2 linked regions of the Rhinolophus ferrumequinum genome follow. The protein of the gene in region 1 binds, or shares a complex with, the protein of each later gene. Links are inferred from orthologs where the notes say so. Each region holds a gene or a part of one and is shown on either strand. Other genes may lie near its edges.

Region 1 (10,323 bases):
TAACAGTAACTGATATACCCTGCATGAGGAAACTGAGAAAGTCTGAAAGTCAGGCAGTATAACTCCTTCAATTTTGTTCTTTTTCAAACTTTTACGACAGTTCTACATCTTTTGTATTCTCATAAGAATTTTAGAATCTGCTTCTCAAGTTTCTACAAATGAATCTTGCTGGGATTATGATTGCTATTGCATTGAATTTATAACTCAATTTGGGAATAATTGACATCTTAACAATATTGCATTTTTCAATCCCAAAACAAGGTATATCTTCCCATTTTCTTAGGTCTTCTTTAATTTCTCTCAGCAACATTTTGCAGCATTCAATGAACATATCTTGTACATCTTTGTCAGATTTACCCCTAAGTATTTTATGTTTTTGATGCTATTGTAAAATATATTGCTTTTTCCATTTTCATCTCAGTTGTTGCTGGTATATTGAAATACGCTTTTAAAAAATTGTGGTAAAATACACATAATATAAAATTTACTGTCTTGGCCATTTGTAAATGTGTAGTTTAGTGGTGTTAAGTACATTCACACTGTGGTGCAACCATCACCATCCACCTCCAGACTCTTTTGATCCTGCAAGACTGAAACTCTGAAATCATTAAACAATAACTCCCCAGTTACTTTCCCCCCCAGCCCTTGGCAACCACCATTCTACTTTCTATCTCTATGAATTCACTACTTTAGTTACCTCATATAAGTGGTATCATACATTTTTTAAAATCTTTTTGTGACTGGCTTATTTTACTTAGTTCATATGTTCTCAGGGTTCATCCATGTTGTAGCACATGTCAGAATTTCCTTCCTTTTTAAGAGTGAGTCATATTCCATTAACATTATATATATATATATATATATGTATACATATATACATATATATATATATATATATCACATTTTATTTATCCGTTCATCCATTAATGGCTCTTGTGAATATTGCCTCTTGTGAATATTGTTGCTATGAATAAGGACGTGCCAACTATCTTTAAGAACCTGCTTTTAATTCTTTAGGATACATGCTCAGAAGTAGGATTGCGGAATCATATAGTTTTATTTCTAATTTTTTGAGGCACCACCATATTGTTTTCCACAGTGGTTGCACCAATTTACATTCCCACCGACAATGCACAAGGGTTCCAATTTCTTCACATCCTCATCTACACTTGTTATCTTCTGCTTTTTTGTTTTTTTAATTTATAGTAGACATCCTAATGCGTGTGAGGTGGTACCTGCGATTTTGATTTTGCATTTCCCTAACGATTAGTGATGTTGAGCATCTTTCATGGGTTTATTGGCAATTCATACATCTTTTTTGGCAAAATGTCAATTCAAGTCCTTTGCCCATTTTTAAAGTCAGATTGTTTTACACTTGATTTTTGTATATTGATCTTATATGCTGCAACAATGATAAACATTAATTCTAGTAGCTGTTTGTAGACTCTGTAGGATTTCCTAGCTAGAAAATCATGTCATCTATGAGAAAAGATCTTTATTTATTTATTTCCAATTTGGAATGCCTTTTTATTTTCCTGACTTATTGATCTGTCTCGAATCTAGAGCAGTGTTGAATAGAAGTGGTGACAGCCAACACCTTTGTCTCGATCATGTCTTAAAGGGAAAGTATTGGTCTTTAATTGGTCTTTAATGGTTTAATTGGTCTTTAATTAAGTATCATGGTAATTGTAGATTTTTCACAAATGCCCTTTTATCACTATGAGAAGGTTCATAGTTTGCTGAGAGATTTTTATCAGGAATATTTGTTGGATTTTGTCAAATACTTTTTCTGTATCTGCTGAATTGATCATATGAATTTTTTCTGTTTTAGTTTGCTAATGTGAATTATATCGACTGGTTTTTCAAATGGTAAATCAGCCTTGCATCCCGGGGATTAAACCCAGCTGGCCATAATATATTATCCACTATATATAATGTCAGACTCAATTTGCTAAATTGACCAAAAGTCAGTGGAAAGAATATACATAGAAAAAAATCCACAGAAGATCTAGCTATTGTAATGATCAGGAAGAGATTTAAAATAGCTAGACTTATACGTTCAAGAAAGTATAGGCAAAGGTGGAGAAAATAAAAAGATGGAGAATTGCTCCAAATGAATTGGATTTTATTTTTAAAAAATCATATGAAATTTCTAGAACTTAAAAATACAATGACCAATATTAAGAATTCAATAAATAGATTTAAGAGAAGATTTAGGTAGATGGATAGAAAATTCACAGACTCATGCATAAAGAAAGATGTCAAAAAAATGGTAGTAAATACAGATGGTAAACAATGAAAAATTCTGACATATGTGTCACCGAAGTCTTAAAAGGAAAAAAGAGATAAGACCAAGAATTTTCGAAAACAGATAAAAGATACCAAGCTACAAATTCAAAGGACTTCACGAGTGGCACATGCCACTCATGAACCCAAGTGGGATGAATACAAAGAAAATCACATCTAGACATATCACAGATTATTTGTGGAAAACTAAAGAAAAAAAATGTTAAAAGGAGCCAGAGGAAAAAAGATATTAGTTTCCAAAGGAATAACAATGGAATGATGGAAACCAGAAGACAATAAAAGGACATCTTTAAAGTGCTGAAAAGAAAATTTGCCAAACTAGAATGCTATCTATACTCAGCAAAAATATGAAAGATAAAATGAAGTTTTTAGGCAAACAAAAATGGAGAGAACTTGTCACCAGCAGACCTACTACAGTATGAACAGAGGAATTATTGAGAAAGAAGGAAAAAATTCCAGTCAGAAGCACCAAAATGTATATTGGAACAAGGAGTAACATAAAGGGTAAATAAATATGTAGGTGAATATAATGAATATTGACTGTAGAAAACACATAATTATAAAATGTTGTATGGCTTAAAATACCAGGGGTGCCAAATAAATGTATACAAGTGGACACTTTGGTCAACATTGCTCAAGTAGTAATTCGCCGTCATCAGAAGTGTCTGGATGCTGATGGTAACCACTTTGAGCACCTCTTGTAATTGCAGAAGACAAACGTGACTTGTATTCATCTTTTGTTATCGGTATATATTGAGTATTACAATTTTAATACAGTTTTCCTTTCTTAAAATGTGTATACATTTTTTTGGCACCCTCTGTATATGCACAATTAAAATCTGTGACAATAAAAACCACAAAAGTGGAAGGGTGGTGGAGACATAGTATTCTAAGGTCTTAGCATTATTGGGAAAGTGGTATAAGTAATTATTTATGTTAGAGTGTAATAAGTCAAATAGGCAGGCTGTAATTACTAAGATTTCTAAAAGAATGTATAACTAATAAGCTAATAGAGGTTAATGGTATAATTAAAATATTTTAATTAATTCAAAAGAAGGCAAAAAAGAGAATAAGGGATGTAAAGTAAGTGAACAAAAGAAAATAAATAGCAAGATGGCAGGTAGAAATCCAAATACAGCAGTAATTATATTAAATGTAAATGGACTAAAAGCGTTTCCTGTTGAAATAAGTATAGAGCAAACTTCCAATTTTAGGCTTAGCTAGAGTCAGCATAAAAATGTAACTACCTACTACAAGTGAAAAGGCAGGGATTCCTAGTGCAAAATGTGGATGAGGGAAATAACATAGCTGGCAACCCTGCAGGGCTGAATTCTGAGTCAAGTTTGAAGCAAGAAAAACTGTCTGTTCAGTGCTGTGGATTTTTTTTAACATTTGAAAGACGAGGACTTTAATCTGTCTTTGTTGCAGATCTTTTGAGAAGACCTCCTGAATGTGCCCTCAAGTTATGCAAATGTAAAGCAAAGACTCTCTATGGAAGCTGTTTGAAAAGCTAAACTGTTCTTTGTTGTTGCAAATTGTTTTAAATTCTTGCTACTGTACTCTAGTTTGGTCTTCTCACAGGAATGGCTGTAGCTAGTTTTCTTCCAAATTATCCAAAGGCAAACACAGTTCATCTCTGTAAATGTTATTTTTCTTCTGAAGACCACACACTAGTCTCACGCGAAGAACTCATTTTCTTTCTATTAACATGACTTTATCTGTTCTCTTTGGGAAATAAAAACCTTTCTTTATTCTTTTAAAAGAGAATCTCCCTCCACCTTTTCTTTCCTGTATGTATTTCCATTTCACAAAGAGCTCTCATTTTACCTGAGAACGCATCTGTCTGATTCATCTAGGATGAAAAATATCCTTTCTAATAGATTAACTTGTACCTCCAAATTTCTCTCCTAATTTGGCAATGGGGCTTGGAAGTAGGTGACGGAGGGTGATGAAGTAAATCTCATCACACCACACCACATTTATGTTCTCAGTGTCAGTACTAGGATATTGAGTTGGCTGGACCATCATCTGAAAATATGTTTTTATGTTGTTATTGAGTGGTCTAGACAGTCTAAGGATTAGAGCAGAGAAAAGCTAAGAGATAAGAAAGTATAGGTTGAGGAATACACCAGGTTTGAGCTGGAGGTGGAAATTCCGTCTTTTTCTCAGTGGCTTAAAAATTTTCATTCACTAGCAACGTTTTGAGTCTGTACTACTTGTAACACAGTAATGGAGATGCAAAGAGGCATTCTAGAAGAACATACAATGTTACAAAGGCCACACATCCTGTCAAACGAATAGGGCAAATGGTCAGTACTACAAAAGTTCAGAAAAGGAAGTAAGCATGGAAGTTAAGGGAGTGAGTGGGAGGGTGGTCTTTAAAAGGTAAAGCTGGGGTAAAATGAGATGTTAGAGAAAATATCGTGTTTCCTGGAAAATAAGACCTAGCGGGACAATCAGCTCTAATGTGTCTTTTGGAGTAAAAATCAATGTAAGACTCGGTCTTATTTTACTATAAGACCTGGTCAATATAATATAATGTAATATAATATAATATCCCAGTCTTATTTTACTATAAGACCGGCTCTTATATAATACAACATAATATAAGACCGGGTCTGGTATTAATTTTTGCTCCAAAAGAGGCATTAGAGCTGATGGTCCCGCTAGGTCTTATTTTCCGGGAAACAGGGTAGTCTACGCAGGATGCACAAAGCAGATAAAGGTCTAGTAGCAGGAAAATACTTCCACACAAAATTATTAACGATTTAGTATGTCTTTTCATTTGTCATTTACTGCCTTTCCAATGAATGTAGTAAATAAAATTTAAAAAGGGTATGATTCAATCTCGAGAGACAAGACAAAGAAACCAGTAGAGGACAGACATGCTATGAAAAAAGTGCCAGTTCGTGGTTCAGCCATAAATTCGGACAAGAGCAATTCTGCATAGGGCACGAGAAGACAGGCGTTGGAGTAAGGCAGATCTAGGCTCCAAACTCAGATGCGTGCCACAAAATAGCTCCGTGACCTTGTGTAAATCTTACGACCCTCGTCTATGCTGTTTTCTATGAAAACGTCTCTAGTAAGGTCCAACAAGTCTCATTTGTGGGGAGGGTGAAATCATTGTGGTGACTTGACAAAGAGCTTGACACGAGTGTCTAAGTTTCTACCCTTTCTCCCTTCTCAACACACCTCCTCTTTTTCCTACAGTAGGAGTGAGATGTGTGGGGTGAGTAAAGTGAGCAGAAGGGGAACGATGAAGGGAGGCAACTTCCTCTCTGCCCTTCGCCCCCTCCCCACCACACAAGCTCCCGACCTCAGGTTCCGGGAGAGTCACCGTGGAAGTGGGCTGAGGGCACATAAGTGGGGAGGGAGGATCTGCTAACTGTAAACACAAACGCCATCAAGAGTTCAGAGCCCGTCTGGCCACCGGATTTCCGTGCCACACTGAAGCCACCCCACCCATGCGTCTGCTCTCAGTTTCCCCAGCTGTGTAATGGGGATACATCATCTCCTCCTCTCACTGGTATCTGCCCGACCTGACCGTGTGTGAAAGGCTAGAAAGAGCCCCCAGTTTTTGGCCTCCAGCCCCATCAGGTCCTCCTCCCGCTTTGGCTTTGGCCTTTTGTACCGGCCCCACGTGACCCGCCCGGCCCGCTCTTCCCTCCTTACCCGCCCCGCCCTCCGGCCTTTCCCGGCTCTCGGCCCAGCTCTTCCCGCTCCTCTGCCGCCCCCCTCCCGCACTCTCTCTCCCTCCTCCCCCCTCGCCTCCCTCCCGGGCTGTTGCCGCTCCCTCCTCCAGGCAGCCGTTCCTTCGCGACGCTTCCCCTCCCCCCGCGGCTGTTCCGCCGCCTCGCCTCCCCTCCCCCCGGCCGGAGCTCACTGTCTCCAAGATGGCGGCCGTGTCAGTTTGGGGCATCTCCGCGGTCCGGCCCGGGGTCCTGGTATCCCGGCTCTCTTCCTCCCCGGTAAGTAGCCGAGAGGCCACCCTCGGCCGCCCCCAGCCGTCGAACCCGAGGCTGAGTCGCTCTGGGGCCCGCTCCGCCGCCTCGCGGGGTCGGCAGGAGGCTGCAGGCCCCGTCGCGGCCTGCGCCGCCTCCCGCTGCTCTGCGCCAGGCCTCGGGCTGGGGCGCCACGGCCGCCCCCTCGCGCCCGGCCGGCGCCCGGCTTTCCCCGCCCCGTGGTCCGCGCGCCTCCGGCCCAAGGTCCCCGCCGCCCGCCGGCGGGCCGGGCCCAGCCGGGGAAGTCGGCGGGTGGGCAAGCGGCGAGCGGCCCAGGCCGCAGAGCCTCGGGCTGGGCTGTGCCGTGCCGGCAAGCCCGCTCTCCCTCGGGGGCGCGCCCACCTCCCCGGCCCCACCTGCGCCCGGCGCTCGCCGCCCAGGCCCGCCCGGCCCCTCCTGCCCGCGCTCCGGGGCGCTCCCTCTTCGGTTGCGGCCGGGTGTGCGGAGATCCGAGAGGGGCTGAGGCGGCAAATGGGGGTGACAGGCTGGCGGGTGTTGTGGTGCGGAGGAGGCAGCACGTGTGGTGTTGTGTCTGTCGGGCTGTCAGCCCGGACGCTGGGAGGGGAGGCGGCGGGCTGCTTGTCAATCGTCGGCCGGTTTGGACAGGAGCTGCCGGACCTGTCAGGCTCTTCGGGTAGCCTGCATGCCCTAAACCCTCCTTGGAACCCGCCTCTGTGGAGCTGAGGATTTGGAGGAGCTGGGAACGGGTGATACATTGCTCTTAACTCTTTCACGTGATTTCATTGTTAACTTAGTCCTCGGGTTCTGTTTCCATCTAATGGGAATGGCGAAGCCACCCGTTGGCAAGCTTCAGGGTTGTGCTGTTCCAAGTTTTTAAAGTTTCTCGCTCTTTAAAAAGAGAGCGCGAAGATGTGTTTGTGGGTGGGGAATGGAGGCCGGGGAAGAACTGTCGGAAGCAAGTTGTGCTTTCTCTTTAGACGCTGGTGTAAAGTTCAAGTCTGCAGGCCCTTTACTTTGGTAAGACCTGGACACTAGTGAAAATCCCGGCCGGAGAGACAATGAATAACTGTCATTCATTCTTTTACCTGCGAGCTTAATCAATTACGTTTCCAACTTCTTAAACTCAGGTTGTAGCTTCTTATTTAGTTTAGCGTTAATATCTACATAATGAACTTTCGTGGAGTAATAATAGTATGATTTCTATTCTCTCGAGACTCTCACCAAAATGAAGCATAGCTCTCAGGGGGCTTCTTTTTAGTCAGATTAAAAATAAATCTTGGCTCAGATTTGAGTGTTTACTTCAGCCTTTTTTTTCCTATCCGAGTTAATAGTACTATCCCTTTCCTAATACCTGTTAGTTTTCCTTTGGATTTTAATGATACTTGTAAGAATAATTGCTGTGGGAGCCATTTTTTTTTTTTTTTCTTTTGTTTATGTTGTAATGTAAATGTTCCTCAGATTAAGAACAGAGGTTCTAAAAAACACAAAAGTAAAATTAAATTTAGTTTTGAAAGCAGAGGAGTTGTTTAGATTGTGAAAATTCATTATTTTGGTGATTTTTAAAAAGATTTGTATATGCCAGGTTCTTTTGTCTGAAAGAAGAATATTGACTTTGATCCTGGAGAGGCAGTATATTTATGTTTGTGTTTCATTCGTTAATGTTCATTTCAGGACAGCAGTCTTGAATCTTTATGAGATCTTTGTAGACTGGCAAACAGGGAATAAATTTTTTTCTGTACCATACGTTTGATATGTAGTCTGTGCATTTGAACATAATGATTCTGGGCCTTTCTCATTTCTAGTTTCTCTCTCTGTAGATTGGTTATGAACATTTTGACAGTTGTTACTCCCTCCAAGTACTTTAGTTTGGCTTAGGAGATGCTATCAGCATGTAATTCTTGAAATTTGAATGAAATTGGATTATTTAAAAATTCCTTAAGCACTTTTCCCACTTGACTACTTTTCATATTATTTTTGTTTCCATTTGGAATGTTTAAAGTATATATTGCACTTAAAGTATGAACTTGATCTGTGTGTGTAAATTGTATTTGTTGTTTTTCTAATGTATGAAATAGTTAAAATTTTCTTAATTGTTTTCTGCCTATTCTACTGACTGTTTTATCCAGTCTGAATGTCTGGAATTTTAAAGATGAAAGATTCACTTTTACTTTCATTACAGGATTCTTTCTACTAATCCAGATACTTGTTGAAGTGCTGAATAGTTTCTTGGGGAAAGATGTCAAGGAAGAGTTTCAGTTCATAGACTGGTGAGCAGAGATTATGGCACACAGAATAGCCAGCACCCTCTGGTTAATTGTAGTCTAAGGTTATTCACAGTGCATCTCATTTTGTTTCCTCATTGTATTCTAATTACTCATTTCATTTCTTTTCTTATTTATCCCAGTGGTTTACATACATGATTGTTTTGGAATGTTGATAGAAACATGTTAAAATTCCTACAGGTGCTCAATAAACACTTGCTATTTGATTGCTTTTAAAGACTAGGATGTTTCAGTTATAGCTTATTTACAAGTGGGACTTGATAGAAAACTGACTTTGTTTTCATTGTTTTTCAGGCATAAGATAAACATTCTTCTGCTGGGAGTGACATGTTCCTGAGTTTTTACAACTTTATGAAGAGACCCACATGTGGTGCTATTGAGAAATTTATTGGGAAGTTTGAAGACATTTCAAATAACTGGTAGTTGCGGTTTCTAAAGTAAAGTGGGGAGGCATCTATTTTATGAAAGGAGGAAGGACTTAGGCCAGAAAACTTGTATGCTATGGTTAACTGGTTCTCAGCCTCCGAGAATGTTGTTTTCCATGGTGTAAAACTTACTCAGCATCAGGATAAGGGATAACGACTCTATGGATATACGAATCCTTCACCATGGTAAAACTCGCTAATCCGCTGTATACGGAATGGATTTTGGAGGCCATAAAAAAAGTGAAGAAGCAGAAACAGCGTCCTTCAGAAGAAAGGATATGCAATGCAGTGTCTTCATCCCATGGCTTGGATCGTAAAACTGTTTTAGAACAATTGGAGTTGAGTGTTAAAGATGGAACAATTTTAAAAGTTTCAAATAAGGGTCTCAATTCCTATAAAGATCCTGATAATCCTGGGCGAATAGCACTTCCTAAACCTCGAAACCATGGAAAATTGGATAATAAACAAAATGTAGATTGGAATAAACTGATCAAACGGGCAGTTGATGGCTTGGCAGAGTCTGGTGGCTCAACTTTGAAAAGCATTGAACGTTTTTTGAAAGGTCAGAAGGATGTGTCTGCATTATTTGGAGGCAGTGCTGCCTCTGGCTTTCACCAGCAGTTACGATTGGCTATTAAACGTGCCATTGGCCATGGCAGACTCCTTAAAGATGGACCTCTTTATCGGCTCAACACTAAAGCAACCAATGTGGATGGGAAAGAGAGTTGTGAGTCTCTTTCCTCTTTACCTCCAGTGTCACTCCTTCCACATGAAAAGGATAAGGTGAGAATGGTATATGCATCAGTGTTCATAGAGCTGATGATGTAGCATGCTACAAAGTCACGTTTCTAGGAAGTTATATAGAAGTTAACACAAGTTTTGTGTTTGGAGACTTGTGGAATGATGATCACCTCTGGTTTTTCACTGGTGAGTTCTAGGTGTGAGAACTCAGTAGATGCTAATTGTTCTGATATTTTGAAATAGTTGAGATTCAAAGTGTAGAGTATCGATCAACCAAAAAGAACATGTTTAGATTAGAATTAAAAAGTAGCATACAACTTTAAAACTGTTGCATAAAAGTTCTTGTATCTTACTGCGGGAAGCTGATGAACAGCCAAATGCTGGAGACTTGAATTTGAAACAAACAAGTGACTCTAAGAACCTTTCTTCTTTCTTCTTCCCATTTTGTTGCAGTTTATCATTACACAGGAATGAGACCAATTCTTGTGACCCATAGTAGTAGTTAAGCAAATTTAGCAATTCTTATATCTACTGTTTGTATTCTAGCTTTCTGTCATGTGTTATTCTTTCTATATGACAAAGTCCTAAATATTATTGCTTATGACA
Region 2 (11,040 bases), on another chromosome or scaffold:
GGTTCCCAAACTTTGGTGAGGGAGCAGGAGGAGGAAGGGCGCTTCGTGTCAAAGGCGGCCCCAGACCCACGGTCACCCCGACACTGTCTGGTCTACCCCGGGCACCGGTGTGGCCCCTAGTGAAACCATACATCCTTCCAGGTCTGACAGAGTCGAGTCCTAGCGACATCCACGCTCCCACAAAGTGAATGAACGAGGCCAGGTTTCAGGGGACCGCGTGGTTGCGGTACCACCGCCCTACCAGGCACCTCCCTGACATCCCCACTCGAGGCTGCCCCTGGTCCCCACACCTGCACACACTTACCTCTGAGGGGGAATATACGGAGCACACACGGGTGGCAGGGCTGCACAAGGCTCGCTCAGCGTCTTCTTAGCCTTTTTGGCTTTCTTCCTGACCTTGGACGTGGATCTGACCGTTTTGACCGAGCTCTCTTTTCGACACACGCCGTTTTTCATCTCAACATCCCCGTAAATGTTCAGAGGCCGCCGGGTACAGCCCGGGGGCGTGTGCACATCACAGTAAGCGGTCTTTCTGACGGAGAAAGTGGTGGCACCGCCAGCCAGTTCCTTCACGGGCTCCATCTTCATGTAGAGGCCGGCCTTCTGGGCGCACGTGACGTGGAAGGCCGTGTAGCAGTTCGCCTTGTGGCACTGAATGCAGGCACCCACGCCCTTCTGCTTGCAGAGGTAGCACGTCAGTCTCCAGCGGGCGGGGGGGATGTTCCGCACGCCATCGATGGGCTCAATGAACACCGTGTTGGCGAAGCCCACCTCTGGGATCCACAGGGCACACACCACGTGGCCCCAGCGGTCGTCGTCGGTCTTTTTGAAGGCACCGCCCTTGTTGGGGCACAGCACACAGTCGGCAGGCCGCGCGCGGGACTGCAGGCAGTGGCGGCACAGCCACTGGCCCTCGGGGATGTAGGGCACCCCGTAGCACTCCTGGTGCACAGCCAGGTTGCACATGTCGCAGAAGAGGATGGCGTTGCTGTTCTGGCACTCGCCGTCCATGCAGATGCAGCACACGGCGTCCTCGTCGATCAGCGACTGCTGCTCGCCCTGCTTCTGCGTCTCACAGTGCGACTCCTTCTCAAAGCGGTCCATGAGGAGCTCGAACACGGCCTGCGACACGGCGGGCACGCACTCGGCCCGGCGCCTCTCGTTGACCAGCTCCAGCCACGCGTAATCCTCCTCGTCCATGTCGTACTCCACCTCGCCGTCCAGCTCCTCCGCCGACTTCTCCACGAACTTGTAGTAGGCGGGCGGCCGGCGGGGGGCGGCCGGGGGGCTGTACTCCAGCACACGCACCCTGGGCTCGGGGAGCACGCTGGCGGAGGCTGGGGCGCCGTGGGCGCTGGGGGCGGCCTCGCTCTTCTTCCTGACACGGTTGTTCTTGTGGCGCTTCGCCCTCAGGCACACGGGCGGCCGCTCACTGTTCTCCTTGTTGCTGTTGCACTCGCTCATCTCCTGGGCAGTGAGGTCGTCCTCCAGGATGACCTCCAGGGGGTCGAAGATGCTGATCCTGTGCAGGCGCCCCTCGATCTCGATCTCCACCATCCTCTGCGCCTGCGCGTACGTCAGGCTCTCGCGTGCCGGGGACTGCTTAGTGCTGCGCGGGGAGGACGGGAGCCTTGCTGCAGCGCCTCGATGGCATCGTCCTTTCCTCCTCATTTGGTACTGACTCCCTAGACACAGGCAGAAGGCACGTTAACTGGACAGGACAAGCACACACACGAAGTCCAATCCCCCAGCTGACCTGGCTCGGAGGCTCCGGAACCATCCATCCCGACCCCAACAGGGACTCCCAGGACCAGAGGGGAGGACAGGCCGTGAGCAGTGGCCCTCGAAAGGCATGTGCAGTGACAAGTCCCTCCGACACCGATTCCCACTGCTTGCCAGCTACCTTCCTAGACCAAGCCAACAGATCACCAAGATGACTGCCACATCCCTCCGGACCAAGGGTCCCAGGCCTGAACCCAGGGCTAGACTCCAGCAGGCAGAGAGGTTGTGACAGTGACGCAAGCGTGCTCAGAGGCTCTCCGCTCCCAACCCATGTTCCCAGGACATCCTCTCCCCAACAGTGCTGCCAGCCCTGGAGCCAGGGCACTGGTTCTGGCAGCACTGTGCAGAGGGGCCAGAGGCCTCAGTGGCCTGACCACAGCCTGCCTGCCCCTTCCCCTTGGGCACTTCTGAGCTGTTGGCTAGACTGCAGGGCCAGGCCAGGCCCTCCTCCTCCTCAAGCACACCCACACACATTCAACGTGCCACGCTTTACGGCGAGGGCCACCCCGAGGCCCCGCACTGCCTGCAGAACCACCCCGGGACCCCTGCAGAGCCGCCTTGAGGCTCCACCCTGCCCACAGAACCACCACCATCGTTCTGCCAGCACAGGCTCAGGTGCCTGAAACCTTGGCCAGAGATTGACAATTTGCTCTTTTCAGATCTCCGCCGTCGGGCTGTCACTATTTTCAAGTAAGGCTCCAACTGTGGACCACCACCAACCAAACAGGTGTCACCTTAGGAACTGACAAGGACCTGTCACAGACCTCTCAGACTCCTCCCACCAAACATCTTACTGACAGGAAGCAAAGGGATTTTTCAGAGACTGGCTTATAAACAAACATGCCGAGTTGGAGTCCAAGGCCCGCTGCTTCACGTGGCCCACCAGGCGGGGTGGGGAGCCCAGCCTCGGGCGCCCACAGGAGCCTGAATGACAGCCCCTTGCCCACCTGGCTGGTCTGTGCAAAAGCCTTAGCGAGCAGGCTTCACTCTACACCCCGAAAGGAAATCCCAGCGGACCCTGATGCACTGTTTAAGACTGACTCGTCAGACTGCGGCTTTCTTGGGTCAAATGGAAACGGTTTAAAATGTGATGAATTCCTTGCCAAGAGGAACATGGCAAACCCTGGGTCAGCCAAATCCCAGTTCAGAGTTCCTGGGGAGCAGTCAGTGAAGCCACCAGCCAGCTGGCAATAGCCTACAATCCCTCCTGAGGGGAGCTGGGTGTGTCCCCCAGGTGTCAGCACAGAGGTGACCCTAATGCACTCAGGACAGCTTCGCGTGTCCTTACTGGAGGGAGAAGCCACACGTGGTTATTCACATTCACAGCAAACGTGAAATTTTCTGCCCTGCAGCCACGTACCCAGGAGCTGCAAGTACATCCAGCCCTTCAAGACCCACACTGTCTCAATGGGCACTAAGTGACCACCTGCCACAGAAACAGCCTCACACTTAATCGTCACAGCAGCTCTGCAATTTGAAAGTGTACTTGTGACAGGGAAAGCGGGCATTTAGCAGCAGTGCCAGGCACAGAGTGACCCACCGCCTCATCATTCCCCGATACCCTCGAGCGCTCTCTGTGGCTCTCTGGCTCCAGACACCCTGGGCACTTTTGTACAGGGACAAGCATTTCCACAGGAGGGAATCGGCAAGGATGATCAGCAAGCATCTCCGGGAACAATTCTGTTAAGTACATACTGAAGAGGGTTAGCCGTCACAGTAATGACCGGCCACAGTAATGACCAGCTCTCGCTGTCCACGCAGCACATTTCCTGCCTGGTCTGGACATGTCACTTAATCCTCCGAGCCTCGCCCCCTGCACTACCTAAATGTGAGCGGAGCCAGAACACACCTCGCCGGCTGCGTGCAGCCTGGGTGAACACAAGCTGCTCACAGCCGTGCCCGGCAGAGCAGGTGCCAGGCCACGTAAGTAAATACACCCTAACTCTATAAACGCTGCTTTCCGCGATGACCGGGGCAGAAGTGTGTGGGGTGACGGGACGTCGTCGACGGGGTGGTGGCTTCCTGGGCGTGTAGACGCTCTCCAGAATCCCTGGGCGCTAACCGGAGCTGCACTTTCTGTAAACTGTGCCTCGAGAAAGATACTTCTTCAAAAAAAAAGGCCCAGGACAGCCGGGGCACAAGTCCATCTCAGCGTGTTTACTGCCAACACTGCCCGGAAGCGGGAGGGACGCCTCCCTGCGCTGCCGGCCGCCGGCCGCCCGCCGCCCTGGGCCCCCCGACTCCCGGGTCCCGTAGGAAGCCTTTAGAGGCGGCCCTACGACAGGCCTCCCGTCCCGACAAAACCCACGAGCGTATCTGTTACATAATGCGACCCGCGGGGCGACGGGGCCGCCCGCCCTGCCGGCCGGGTTACGGCCCGGCTCTCGCGCCGGTACCGCCCCGCCGCGCCCGCGGCGCTCACCCCTCCGCCGCCCGAGCCCGGGACGGCCCGCAGGCGGGCCGAGGGCGACCTGGGCGCCGACCCCACGGCCTCCGGGCCCCGACTCCGCGGCCCCGACTCCCCGGCCTCCCTCCGGCCCCCGCCCGCCCGCCTCCCGCTCGCCCGCGGACAATGCGCCGCCGCGGCCTCAAACATGGCGGCGGCGCAGCACCGGGGCCGGCGGCCCTCGCGGCGGCGGCGGCGTCCCCGGCCCGGCCCCCGCCCACTCACCTTCGGGGCCGCGGGAGCCCGGCGGGCGGGCGCTGGGGCCGGCGCGGCCGAGGCGGCGCTAATGGCGCCCGCGGCTCCTCCGCCAACGGCCGCGCAGGCCCGGCCGCCGCCGCTCGGGGCGCGGGCTCCTGTCGGCGGGCGGCCCTGCGGACGGCGGGCGGGGCCGGGAGGCCGGCGCGGGGCCCGGCCGGCGGCGGGGCGCGGGGCGCGGGCGCGGGCGCGGGCGCGGGGCTGCTCGGACGCCCGGGCCGGCTGCTCGCTCGCTCCCCAGCGAAGCAAACAATGCGGCGAGCGCTCCGCCCGGCGCGCTGCGTGCGAGACGCGCCCCGCCCGCCGCCGCCGTGACGCGAGGCCGGGGGCGGGGCCGGGAGCGGGGCCGGGGGCCGGGACGCAGCTGGGCGGAGGGACGCGCGCGGGAAGCGGACCTGGGGGCTGGGCGTGGGGGCCAGACCGGAAGTGGAGGGACGCTGGACGGGCTCCCGCGGAGAAAGGGAGCCCCCGACGGTGGGGTGCAGGAGAACGGGGGGGGGGGCGGGCGGAAGGGGGTGCTGGGAGGGGACGGAGAAGCAGCGGGGAGACTGGAGGGGCGTCTGCTGGGGTGCGGGTTAGGCGGGGCACGGGCAGCCCGGCCTGAGGGGCTCGCCCCAGCTCGGCCCTCCTTTAGGCGTTTTAAGCCAAGTGGGCGGGTAATTAGGATTTTGAACACCCTCCCCGGCATCCTGGTGAAACAGAGGGCGACCTGAGCTTCCTCTCCCACTGGCTGCTTCCACTTTGGCCTTTGTGGAAACTTAAAATTCGGGGGTTTTGTGACAGTTTTCATCCGGAGATTAAATCCCAAAATGTCTTGAGGGGACAGAGAGGCCCAGATGTCTCCTTGGTTTCCTTGGAGGGTTTGTTAGTGCGGTGGCCATGAGGGAGCCCCTGGCGGTGGGCAGCCCAGCCCCAGGGAAAGGAGCAGGCAGGTGGCCCCCAGCCTGGGGCATCAAGACAGGCTCGTCAGGAAGAGAATGGACAGCTGCCCAGGCAAGAGGCTGGGTCCTTCTGAGCCGGTCAGGTCTTCCCCTACATGGACAGGCAGGGCACAGTCCACTGCTTAGGATCCCCCACCGAACGCCTTACTGGGAGTGGGCTGCCCCCTGCACCCAAATGTCCTTGGGGGAGATGGAGCCCCATGGGCCTTTTGGTGACCAGTACTTGTACCCCACTGCATCCAATGTACGGCTTCGAGAGTGAGGTAGGACTGCAACCAAGGTCACCCAGTGGTCAACCCTGAACAAAGTCCCACCTTGAAGCTGGTGGCCCCTCCAGACACTTCCTTGGGCCAAGGTGGGGCTGGCTGGGCACTGGGGCCCTGACCACATCCACACCAGACCCAGAAGCTGCAGGTGTCTCCCCGCTCTTCAGATGTCTGCTTGTCCGAATCCAAACATGCCAGGGCAGCTAGTAGCTGAGAGCAAGCAAGTGGGGCCTGCACCCTTCTCTCCTCCACCATGGGCAAGCCAGATGCAAATCAACAAGCTGGAGGGGCTCACCACACACAGCAAAAGTAAGAAACAGTCTGGTGAAAGAGAAGATGAAAGATAACAAAACCCTTCTCCACAAGACAGACAAAAGAAGGACTTCTCAGACAATGGAAGTAAGTGATGTCCAGGAGAAGTTAAAAAAGACCTACAAGCGTGTCAGTAGCTCAAAACAACAATCACTCCTTTTGCTCACAGACCTACTATGTGGAATACAAGGATAAAGAGACTAGCTCAAAAACCTTCAGAGAGAAAGGATATTCTTCAATCAGACTGAACTTGATATGGCCATTGTTTTGAAAGGAGGGAGAAGCTGAGATGGTTCCTTGGCAAAGAATGAATTGACTAAATTCTAAGAGAATTGAACTTGGAATTCCATACACGATGAAACAAGCATTCAATGAAACAGCAGAATAAAGGTGTCCACAGCCTGTAAACATCCAAGTTTACGACACATGGTCTCTTAAATATTACTGAAAGATACACCCTAGCAAATGAAAAGTGAATCTGAGAGTAAGACATGGATGCCAGCAAAGAAACCAGTTTGGACTGTTAAAAGAAAATCAAATACCAACTTGGGAGAAAGTCCCAGATGAACTGAATAGAGCATCCAGCAAGAGGAGAGGGGAGCAGGAAGTGAAAGTTCACTGAAGTTCTTGTGTTGTTAGAGGAGTTTAGAATGGATAGAAAAAGGTTTAAAATGTTAAAATAGCCAAGTTTCCACTAGAAAAATGGAAATAGGATCTACAGATTCTAAGACAGATGGGGGAAAACTGAAATGAAGAAAAATTGAGAGTGCCAACCAAAGGCAGAAAAGAGGAAAAGATGAGTACACAATAAATAAGGACCATAATATGAGATGACGGGAATGAATTCAAATGTTTGAGTAACTGGAGACATGATTGAATTAAAGTCATCTATCAAAAGACTGAGACTCTCAACTGGAATACAAATGCCATTAAATAGTGTTTACAAGAAATACACCTAAAAATGTCACAGAGGATTGAAAATAAATGGAAAGTATGTATCATCCAACTCTTGCTACTCAAAGTAGCAAAAGAGAAGGAAGAACAAAAAACTAAAAGAAGGTATTTGCAACAGGTGTTCCTTGCAAATGATTCATATCCAGAATATATAAAGAATGCTTTCCAATCCATTAGAAAAAGACGAGCGAATAGAATGATGGGCAAAACCCATAATCAGGCTCCTTACAGAGAAGAATGTGGAAAGGGCCAATGACCTCAGTAGTAATTCTGGAAATGCAAACTGAATCCACACCAAGTGAGCACAGGTGTTCAAACATGACAGTACCCTGTGATGGTAAGAAGGTGGATTGACGGAAACATGGTCGCAATATCAGGTGGTGCAATTATCTTGGTGAATAATACGGCATTACCCAATGAAGCTAGACATATGTGTCAGTTATCACTGCATAGCAAACCAGCCTGAAAACTTTGTAGCTCAAAACAACACTCATGCCCTTTGCTCATGGATCTGCTTTGTGGGCAGGATTCACCGCTGGTCCACTCCGTGCTCACCAGCTGGGGCATCTCCACTAGGCGCTGGAGGGGCAATGTCCAAGATGGTGCACACATATGGCTGGTAGGCTGGTTCCAGCTATAGGCTGAGGGCCGAGGGACTGTGGCAAGGTTCTAAGAACAAGAGTCCAAGAGAAATGGAGGGGCCTGTGTCACTTTTTATATTGTCACCTCAGAAATCACAGAGCACCATTTCTGCACAAGCCTGTCCTGATTCAAGACATGGGGGGATGCTGAGCCGTACTTCCTGTGGAGAAAAGTGTCAGAGTCTCATTTTAAGAGGCGCACAAGTGTGGGAGAAGTTTCTATGGCCAGTTTGGGAATGTGCCAGCTGCCATAATATGCACACCCATTCCCAGCTGCAGGGCTAAGCAGGTATGGGCTCCTGGGTACATTACACACCTAGATTGGGCCTGAGAGGTCTGGACTTGCTCATCAGAAGACGTGCGTCCATGTTCAAAGCAGCACTGTTTTGAACACCAAAAATGCTGGCAAAAACCGTCCATGTCCGTGGACGAGACCATAAATAAAGTGGGTGTGTCTGTATGCTGGAATAGTGCACGTGGCTACAATGAATGAACTGCAGCACTTGGAGCTACGTGCAGAATCTCAGACAATAATGCTGAATGGGAGAGACAGTTGACAGGAGACTGCAAAGTGTGATTCCATTTACACTTGCAGAGAGCGATAAGAAAGGTGTGTCAGCTTGCACACACACCTCTATCTTCTTCGATATCTATTAACAAAACTTGAGTTCATGCTGGGGGCTCGTTGCAATCCAGCAGGGTTCATCCTACGCTCCCCCTTCTAGATGACTGTCAACAGTCACCCAGTGGCTCAGTCCGCTGTGTGTGGAGAGATTTGGCCCCAGACACATCGACCGCTGCCCCCACTTACAGGCACCAACCAAAAGCTCAGTTTTGGGGACTCCACACTCCCAACCCAGCCCCACACCACTGGACCTGCCGCTGAAAGCTTGGGCCCAGAAAAGGCGGGTTAAGGGCACGGGTGTGATTGTATAATGTGTTATTTTCTGGCAGAAGTAAGATCAAATCCTTTATTCTTAACCCACTTCTAACCTTGCATTTGGTGGGCTGTTTTCACCAACCAGTGACACATTCTTTAGATGGTGTTTTCTCACTTCAGAACTCAGGAAAAGTAGTTTTTACTGACTCTTCAGTTTTAGTAGGAATCTAGTTTGCATAGTTTCAGTAGAAATCAATCCTCCTTTTTACCAGGATATCATTAGACAAGTTAATTGTGCAACCAAGGCCTTACCTTGGTGTCACATTTGAGAATATGTGTCGTGGTTCCGTAGGACCCACCCAGCTTAGGAGGAAGGGTTGTATGTGGTGAGCCAATGCCCATGCAGCCCTCAGACCCACACTAGTCAGTCCCTGTACTGTGGGGCGCCAGGTCTGCGGCTTACGAGTGGTAGGAACACGGGCTCTGTGGCAGACACCAAAGTCCTCAAAAAGACAGGGATGTACCTGCATGCACAGGTACGGCAGGCCAAGCTGCAGGCGACTGGCTTGGTTTCGTAACCTGGGAAGAGCAGAGAAGACGAGAAATTAAAATCTTAGGCATAGAAGAGGCCGGGTCCTATATTCTTACGATGTCATCACCAGACAGAGGTTGAATTTCCGGTCTTGGTCGTTGGGTAACGCCACGTAGTGTAGATGTACTGGCCCAGCCCGGAGGCTCATACATGTCAATTAAGCATTTTTTACAGCGCCTGTGTGGGTGAATCAGGTCCAGATGCAGCAAGACTAGCATTCTGTGGTCAACAATAACCTCTGGAGATTATCACCATGGGAAAGGGCCTAATAAAAATTTTCCAAAACTTATGAAAAAGTAGGATGGTGGTGGGTCCTTTGGGTGGGAGGCTGAGTGTTGTCTAGCAGGCCTGCCAAGAGTGTTACCTGATTCTTGTGGGTGAGGTGTTTAACTCGGTATTTACTATTGATTATGATTTTTTATCTCGGGAGGACAGACTTGTAGAAAACGATGGCTGAGTAAAATGATTCTTGTCTGACAGCAGTGCAAATGAATTTTGCTCAGTTAGTAAATGATAGAAGTTATTTCTGTCCAATGGAGAAGATGCCAGTTTTACAGCCCCTGTAGAATGTTAGCCTGTTTTTCATCTAATTTACAAGCTTACCCAAGCAAGCTTTTCTTTAGCCACTACACATACTTCCTTCTCTGCCCAAGCTTTTGAACCAGCCTCACCATCATGCTGGTTTCCTCATGAATGATTTAAAGAAATCTTTGACACGTTCTTACTTGAGAGCTGTAGAGTCATATTTTTAACTTTTTGAAAATTATGCTCCGATAGCTCCTCGACTTCGCTGCCTCCCCGGCATCCCCTCTGGGACATCTAACAGGCACGTCACACTCAGCGTGTGGACACTGAGAGCCCTCGGCCCCAAACTTCTCTCTCAACTTCTCCATTTGTTATGGATTGAATTGTGTCCCCCAAAATATATGTGGATGTCCTCACTGCCGGAGCCTGTGCACGTGACGTCACTTTCCAAATACAGTCTCTATAGATGGTCAAGCTGAGATGAAGTCGTTGGAGTGGCCCTAAGCCCACGGTTGTGTCCTTGTAAGAAGAGGGGAATTTGGGCAGACACAGGGAGCAGGACAGATGACAACAGAGACTGGAGTGATGCCGCCGCAAGCGCAGGATGGCCAAGGGCGGCAGCCCCCAGGAAGGACACTGCCCTCCAGGACTCCAGGGCCCAGACGCGCAACCCCCAGGACGGTGTGACAAAAAAATTCTGTTGTTTTAAACACCCAGTTTGTGGTACTTTGTTGTGGCAGCTACACCTTCTCAGTAAATGGTAACTCCATGCTTCCTGAGTGAGAGGCAGTGCCTTGCTGCTCACACCTGATCCATCAGCAAATCCTGTTGGTTCCCCCTTCACAATGTGCGCAGAACCAGCCCTGTGTTCCCACCTCCTCTGTTACCTCCCGAAGGCCAATCAGCACCCTCTCACCTGTATCATCTCAGTATCCTGACTGGTATTGCTGCTTCACCTTTACTCCTCTATACGTTTTCTCTACACAGCAGCTCAAGTGATCCTGCTACTCTCGTGCTTAGAGCCTTCCAGTTCCTCCTACCTCTCCCAGTCCTCAACTCAACAACCAAAACAGACAACCAGATTAGAAAATAGGTACAGGATGCGAAAGATGTTTCTCCAAAGAAGTTAGCCGAGTGGCCAATAAGCACATGACTAGATGCTCAGCGTCATTACTTACCAGGGAGATGTGAGTCGGAACCACGGTCGGACCCCGGCGCCCACCCACTAGGACGGCTAGAACCTAACGGATGATAACAAGTGTCGGCGAGGACATAGGGCCGTTGGAACTCTCTCGCATGGCTGGTGAGAATGCAAAATGGTGCAGCTGCTTTGAAAAATAGTCTGACGATTCTTCAAATGATTAAAAACAGTTACCATGTGACCCAGCAATTCCAATCCTAGGCACAGACCCCAGACACATGAAAACACCTGCCCACACAGAAACT

Evidence for each region. The genes of interacting proteins can lie anywhere in the genome.
Region 2: KAT6A (region 1) and BRD1 share a complex: the UniProt entries of both Homo sapiens proteins name them as parts of the MOZ/MORF complex. The link is inferred for Rhinolophus ferrumequinum from reciprocal best matches to the Homo sapiens genes KAT6A and BRD1.

The regions. Positions count from the first base shown.
Region 1 is NC_046287.1:58,402,922-58,413,244, forward strand, and holds the start of KAT6A (histone acetyltransferase KAT6A), read left to right. Parts: upstream 1-6,153; 5' UTR 6,154-6,275; intron 6,276-8,448; exon of another isoform or gene 8,449-8,536; intron 8,537-8,845; 5' UTR 8,846-9,159; coding exon 9,160-9,759; intron 9,760-10,323. UniProt on the Homo sapiens protein: Histone acetyltransferase that acetylates lysine residues in histone H3 and histone H4 (in vitro). Component of the MOZ/MORF complex which has a histone H3 acetyltransferase activity. May act as a transcriptional coactivator for RUNX1 and RUNX2.
Region 2 is NC_046293.1:784,787-795,826, reverse strand, and holds the start of BRD1 (bromodomain-containing protein 1), read right to left. Parts: upstream 4,548-11,040; 5' UTR 4,454-4,547; intron 1,686-4,453; 5' UTR 1,672-1,685; coding exon 305-1,671; intron 1-304. UniProt on the Homo sapiens protein: Scaffold subunit of various histone acetyltransferase (HAT) complexes, such as the MOZ/MORF and HBO1 complexes, that acts as a regulator of hematopoiesis.